Macaca fascicularis: one gene and its partner. The protein of the gene in region 2 purifies or fractionates together with the protein of the main gene of each other region. This does not show direct contact. Links are inferred from orthologs where the notes say so. Each region holds a gene or a part of one and is shown on either strand. Other genes may lie near its edges.

Region 1 (3,752 bases), on a different chromosome or scaffold from region 2:
TAGTTTGTGATGAAATACAAAGGATTATTTATTCGCTTTCACTTCTTTGGATTTTAGAGAATACTATCTTGGTAAGTGGCTCCAAAAGTAGCTCAATAGTCCTGTAGACATGGTAAGTTTTTTTAAAAAAGAAGAAAATGTTCAACTTTAATATTAATCAAAAAAATACAAATTAAAATTGCAATGAGATATCATTTCTCAACTAACAGACTGGCAAAGATCACAAAGAATAATGTGCATCAATAAGGAGGGCATAAGGGGGAAAATAAAGCACACACTCCAGGTAAAAAGATAAAGTACCAGAATCTTGCTGGTAACACAAATCAGAAGCCTTAAAAATGAGTATATCTTTGACTCAGCAATCCCATTTCTAGGGATATATCTTAGAAATAATTAATAATATATGCAACAATGAACATATAAAGATGCTAAATATATTGTTTATAATTTTAAAATTAAAAATTTTAATTTTGAGGGAATTATAAAGTCAATCAGCGTGCCCATATGACAGAACATAATAAAAATCAATCAGCACAAGATTTTTTCCAGTTTTTAAAAGGAAGATTTATTTAACAAGTTTCACTTAGTACAATACATCTAAATGGAAATCACAATACAAGGAAAGATTTAAACCAAAGCCTCAGAATTTCATACAAACAACACGACCAAACTTCTAAAGTATTGGTATTACATCTTAAAATTGTCCCGTATCCTTAAAAAAAAAAAAAAAAAAAAAAAAAAAAAAAAAAAAAAAAAAAAGTGTACACTCACGTGCCTTACAGGATATTAAACCAAAAAGCTAGAATTAACAAACATGCCAAATGTTTTCACTTTGAATCGTAGACACAGCTCCTATATTTGAGTTTTACAGAAAAGCATGTTTCTCAACATGCATCCGAAGTTTTCAATGTATTTGTGGTATAAGAGCAACATTTAACATAAGTGAAACTGCATTAACCTAAATACGCTTACTGCTTAGGTACACTCCTACAACATAACTAACTTGAGGAAAGCTAAAAATTGTTTTAACAGTTATGGTCAATACTGAACTTTGTTATTATGTCCTAGATGAATGTTTCAGTGTTCAAAATTACTGAGCTTGAAGTTTTAAAATAATCTCAACTTCCACTTTACAGTAAGCATGAATCACAAGCCTGTAATGCAAAACTGTTAAACTTAACTCTTGTTTTCTTAAAAAAGGAGAAAGAAAGATAAAGAAAGAGAAGCTGACCAAGAGTGATCAGAATCAATTATATTTCCCATTTACCAATCATACTGGATATACTAGACATCCCTCCCATTCTATTCAACTCCCACAAATGTACAGCTTTTATATATGGAGTAGCTGTTTGGTGCTCCTTCTCTACCTAAGCAAGGTTTGACTGATAGTCACTGGAATTTTCCTGCAGAACTTGGTCATATCCACTCATACTGCTCTGACCACCATAACCACCTCCATAACCACCACTCAGCTGCTGGCTAGCAGGACCTCCATAACTAGACTGGTTGGATAAGCCCATCCCTCCCATCATTTGGCTACCATAAGCCCCACCACTTGCCCCTGCTGTAGAATTCAAAAAAAGTTCTACATAGCTGTGATCGTAAGCACCCCCACTTGTTCCTGCAGTAGAATTTAAGAAGAGCTCCACATATCTATGTTGCATATTAGCTTTGTCTTTTGCCATAGCTGCCACAGCATCTTCATGAGTAGCAAATTCAACATCTGCCTCACCAGTAACTCTGCCATCGGGTCCAATTTCAATATGTACTCTCATGGGATTAAGAGGTGAGAAGAAATTATAAATATCATTCTCAGTGGCTCTGTAAGGTAACCCCCTCATGTGTACACAGTGCCCTGTGGTGCTCTGGAAACTGGACCCACCATCTCCATATCTATGATCAGACATTCCTGAAAAACAGTAATTGAGGTCTCTTCCAAATCTATCAGACCCAAAGCCATATCCATCATTATAGCCACCATAGTCATCATAGCCTCCATACCCTCCACCGTAGGCACCACGCCTCATCCTTTCAAACCCAGCTCCTCTGCCAATGCTATTATACCCTCTGCCAGCCCCCGGCCTATCATAGGGACCTGGCCGCTGCATAGCCATGAGCTTTCGAGGGGGATCATAGTGGGTTCGAACTTCAGCTCGGCTACTCTTGAAGATCTCAATGTACCTGTGCCCTATTCTTTCCTTGTGTTTCTTTAAGGCCTTCTCAGCTATCTCCTGCGAAGCAAACTGCACAAAGGCTTCCCCTGTGCTTCGCCCCTGAAAGTCCACTGGCAGTGTCATCCCATTTGGCACAATTTCCAACCCTGAAAAGAACTGAACAATCTCTTCCTTGCTACAGCCAAATGGGAGTCCTCTAAGCCGGACGAAGCCATCGTTGGCAGTATCAGGGCTATTCGGACCTGTATGCTTCAACACCCAATCCATTTCAACACTGTTAGACTTGAATACTTCAACGTATCTGTGTCCCATGGTTTCTCTGTCCTTCTTCAAAGCCAATTTCACTTCCTCTTCAGATTCAAGTTCAACAAATGCTTCACCACTTGGTCTGCCTTCTCTGGTGTAGATGAAACGAATACCTGATGTGCCATTTTGGATCTTGCAATCAGAGAAGAAGCGCATCACTTCATCGGCTGAGCAGGACCAGGGTAGGCCCCTGACCTTCACCACGAACCCCTCCCTGCCTTCCGTGCTCAGCATCATGGTGACTGTTGGGCTCTTGGTGGCAAGTTTGGCTCAATGCAATTTTAGTGTAGCTGAAAAAAAAAATTAGAAGACTACTGTCATGGAAAAATGCCCGTGATATAGTAAGATAAAAAAGCAAACTATTAATAGAAAATTCAACTATGCTGACAGCTTTTCTGTAAGATGTCTGTATAAACAAAGAGTTCACCAAATTTTTAACTCATTCATTTTTTAAGTTATTTATTCAATGCCTATTACATGTTGGATACCATTAAAAATTAATAGCAATCGGCCGGGTGTGGTGGCTCACGCCTGTAATCCCAGCACTTTGGGAGGCTGAGGCGGGTGTACCACCTGAGGTCAGTAGTACCACCTGAGGTCAGGCGGGTGTACCACCTAGAGGTCAGAGACCAGCCTGGCCAACATGGTGAAACCCTGTCTCTACTAAAAATACAAAAAATTGGCTGGGCGTGGTGGCAGGCGCCTGTAATCCCAGCTACTCGGGAGGCTGAGGCAGGAAAACCACTTTTATGTACCCAGGAGGTGGAGGTGAGCCAAGATCACGCCACTGCACTCCAGCATGGGCCACCAGAGCGAAACTAAGTCTCAAAAAATAAATAAATAAATAAAATAACATCAACAAATCAGTGGGATAGGTCAACAAATAAAAGATGGCTATATCTGAATATACACACATAAAAAACTTCACTAGATCAAAAGATTAAACAAAACATTAAAATACAAACAAAACACAGGTTATATACGTTCTTTATATAATCTCCTTATATACAAATGTATGCAAATCAATAAAATCAGGGAAATATTTGGGCTTCAGAGATAAATGAAAAAAAGACATTATTGGGAATTCACACATTCATTTTAGAAATATTTTTTAGTTGCCATGTCCAATACTCAGCTCTGGCATACAAGAATCAATAAGCCCAGAAAGGGCTTATGATCCTACAGGAGCACCAAATATCATTATTAAAGATGTAAATGCAAATATACATTATACTTGCCATGACCCTCTGGGTGGGGTATAAGCATAGTATC
Region 2 (3,652 bases):
GCAAGACTCCATCTTAAGACAAAAAAAAAAAAGGAAAACAGATAGCTCCTGACTGGCCTGGATCTGAACTTAGTGCTTCTTAACCCCCAGAAACCACAGGCAAAGGGCACACTGTTTCTGCATCTTTCTGGGAGCAGAGCCGTAGCTTTCATCAGATTCTCAAAAGGGCCATTTAGCCACAAAGTCAGCAATGAGTGGATCTGGTTCACTTCCCTTTTGGAAAGATAAGAAAACTGAGTCCCCTGTGGGGAGGAGGTGTGACTTGCTTGAGATCACTCAGGAAGACCTATGGCAAAGCAATGTCATCACCAGCCACAGACATGAGGCCAGACCCAGGGATGTTTGTGGCATCAAGGGTCAAGTAGCCTTTTGCTTCCCAAGCTGCCTATGCCACCAGCTGAGTTCCTGCCCCCAGCCTAGGACTGCTTCACCTGGAAGGTGGGAGGGCCGGGAAAGCAGGGAAGGAGCGCCCACCTGCAAGGACCTCGTATGCAGGGCAGGGGGTCCAGCACCTGCTGTGCACATCCCCCAACTCCTCCCAGACTGAATGCTCACCTGTCCCAGGCCCCCAAGAGAGACACGGCTCTGCGCCGGGACATCCAAGTGGTCCCTGGGGACCTAGGGATGAACCCAGTGACCTCCCAGCACAATGGCCAGAAAGAAGCAGCCCAGTTCTCTTCCTTGGGCGCAGGCTCTGCCAGGAATCCTTCCTATCACCCCTCTCAGGATCCACCCCTCCCCATGGGGGCTGCTCACCCAAAGCTCCATCCAGGTTCTGGAAGATACGGCAGCGGTGGTCCAGGGTGATATTGATCTGTTCCTGCACGAAAGAGGGTACCAGGCTGCAGCAGGGACAGGCCCTGGGGGGTCTCACCCAGTGGGGGGAATTCCCCTCACAGTCTCACCCAGTGGGGGGAATCTGTCCCCCAGCCTCGGCCCTTTCTCCCCACACCTACTCTGCCATATCACATCAGGGCAGTTGGGTGCCCAGAGAAGGCCAGCAGCCAAGCTCCTGGGGTCTACAGTCTAGTGGCTCCATTCACAGAAAACCAGGGACTCTGAACTGGAAGGAATCTAAGAATGCAGCCGGCTCACCTACAACAACGACGGCCGTAAAAGTAACCAGCGCCTGCCAAGCACATAGCTACTCCAAATATTCTGGTTTTTGAGACAGAGTTTCCCTCTTGTCACCCAGGCTGGAATGCAGTGGCATGACCTTGGCTCACTGCAACCTCTGCCTCCCGGGTTCGAGCAATTCTCCTGCCTCAGCCTCCCGAGTAGCTGGGACTACAGGTGTGCACCACCATGCCTAATTTTTGTTGTTGTTGTATTTTTAGTAGAGATGGGGTTTTGCAATGTTGGGCAGGCTGGTCTCGAACTCCTGTCCTCAGGTGATCCACCCGCCTCGGCCTCCCAAAGTGCTGGGACGACAGGCATGAGCCACTGCGCCTGGCCACTACTCCAAATATTCTACACGTGGGTCGGGTGCGGTGACTCACACCTGTCATTCCAGCACTTTGGGAGGCTGAGGCAGAAGGATCACTTGAACCTAGGAGTTTGAGACCAGCCTGGGTAACACAGCGAAATTTCATCTCTATAAAAAAATTTTAAGGGGGCGCATGCCTATAGTCCCAGCTACTCAGGAGGCTGAGGTGGGAGGATCGCTTGAGTCCGGGAGGCTGAGGCTGCAGTGAGCTATGTTTCTGCCACTGCACATCAGCCTGGGTGACAGTGAGACCCTATCTCAAATAAATAAATAAAATATTCTACATATATTAATCAATTTAATCCTGACAACATCTCTGTGAGAAAGTACTATCATTATTGCATTATTTTAATTTTAATTTTTTTATTTTTTTAATTAATTAATTTTTTTTGAGACAGAGTCTTGCTCTTGTTGCCCAGGCTGGAGTGCAATGGCATGATCTCGGCTCACTGCAACCTCCACCTCCCAGGTTCAAGCAGTTCTCCTGCCTCAGCCTCCTGAGTAGCTGGGATTACAGGCACCCGCCACCACACCCGGCTAATTTTTGTATTTTTAGTAGAGACAGGGTTTCATTATGTTAGCCAGGCTGGTCTCAAACTCCTGACCTCAGGTGATCCACCCACCTCGGCCTCCAAAAGTGCTGGGATTACAGGTGTGAGCCACCGCCTCTGGCCCATTATTGCATTTTATAACGGAAAAAACAAGGCACAGAGAAGCTGCCCGATGTCACACAACTAGTAAACAGTGAGCTGGGATTAGAACCCAGGCACCTTGGCCCTGAAGTCCTTATTCTGAACCACTGAACAATGCTGCCTCTAAGACACCAACCCGGAGGTTCAGGCCTGAGAGGAGCTGTTCCCATGCAGCCTGGCCAGTGGATCCCCAGACCCCTCTCCTTTGGCCCACCCCCTGCCTCTTACCCTCTTCTCTGGGTCCAAGAAGATCTTGGTGTAAAACAGCTGGTCGCTGTCGCTGTCCTGGCCCTCCCACTCGGCCACCAGTTTGCTGAGGTTGGGGGCATAACCGATGAAGCCTGAAGGTTGGTGCGTGGGGACACCAAGACAGACCCTTAGCTTCCAGCCTGTAACCCAGGGGCCTCCTCCCACCCTTCCCTCTCATCCACCTCCACTCATATGCTCACAAACCCTGCCACCTCTCAGAAGTCCTGAATTGACAGGAGGTGGGGCTGCATGTTGGAAATGGGCCTGCCAGTGAATGCCACTTGTGAGTTCCTACTGACCCCAAGGATAATGGTGCCCACTAACCTGTACTGTTCGGTGCTGGGCACCACATAGGTGGTGAAGAAACGGATTGGGCGAGGAGCCCCCGGAGAGCAGGGCTGGGAGGATACAGGCCTCGTGCCCCTTCTTACAGTTATCTGGGAAACTTGGCCCAGAGAAGGGCAAGGCTGGGCCAAGCTCACACAGCGCCTTGGGGGCTGAGACCTGGCATGGTGGGAAAGCCCACATGGGCTCCTAGCTACAGTACAGACTGGTGACAGGCAACCACAAGAGTAATGGGACACCCCTACTCCTGGGCCTGCGCCAGGGCAAGGCCATTTGGACTGTGCTTACTCTGGACCAGTGGAAAAAAGTGTCTGTTCAGGGCAGATGGCAGATCCCCATCTGAGGTTGAAAAGAGGCCTGTGGATTTTATTCTCCATGCAGTGGAAAGTCATTAAGTGATGTGTGTGAATTTACATCTTATTTATTTATCTATCTATTTATAAGACGGAATCTCGCTCTGTTGCCCAGGCTGGAGTACAGTGGCACAATCTTGGCTCACTGTAAGCTCCGCCTCCCGGGTTCACGCCATTCTCCTGCCTCAGCCTCCTGAGTAGCTGGGACTACAGGCACCTGCCACCACGCCTGGCTAATTTTTTGTATTTTTAGTAGAGACAGGTTTTCATCATGTTAGCCAGGATGGTCTCGATCTCCTGACCTCGTGATCCGCCCACCTCGGCCTCCCAAATCGCTGAGATTACAGGTGTGAGCCACCACGCCTGGCCTTGGATTTGCATCGTTTAAAGACCCCTCTGGCTGCTGGATGGAGAATGGCCTGGAAGGGCATGAAGGTAGGGATTGGCAGAGCAGTAAGGAGGCTCCTACCGAGAGCCAGGAGCCCAGTGAGAATAGCGGCAGTGAACTGTGGGCCGGAGAGAGCAGA

What was found. The genes of interacting proteins can lie anywhere in the genome.
Region 1: the proteins of PLOD1 (region 2) and HNRNPH2 purify together in Homo sapiens (affinity purification with mass spectrometry; 3 studies listed by BioGRID and IntAct, counting the BioPlex papers as one, with this or other methods). This does not show direct contact. The link is inferred for Macaca fascicularis from reciprocal best matches to the Homo sapiens genes PLOD1 and HNRNPH2.

The regions. Positions count from the first base shown.
Region 1 is NC_088395.1:108,081,394-108,085,145, reverse strand, and holds the end of HNRNPH2 (heterogeneous nuclear ribonucleoprotein H2), read right to left. Parts: intron 2,771-3,752; 5' UTR 2,718-2,770; coding exon 1,368-2,717; 3' UTR 540-1,367; downstream 1-539. UniProt on the Homo sapiens protein: This protein is a component of the heterogeneous nuclear ribonucleoprotein (hnRNP) complexes which provide the substrate for the processing events that pre-mRNAs undergo before becoming functional, translatable mRNAs in the cytoplasm. Binds poly(RG).
Region 2 is NC_088375.1:222,847,273-222,850,924, forward strand, and holds part of PLOD1 (procollagen-lysine,2-oxoglutarate 5-dioxygenase 1), read right to left. Parts: intron 2,520-3,652; coding exon 2,407-2,519; intron 821-2,406; coding exon 757-820; intron 1-756. UniProt on the Homo sapiens protein: Part of a complex composed of PLOD1, P3H3 and P3H4 that catalyzes hydroxylation of lysine residues in collagen alpha chains and is required for normal assembly and cross-linkling of collagen fibrils.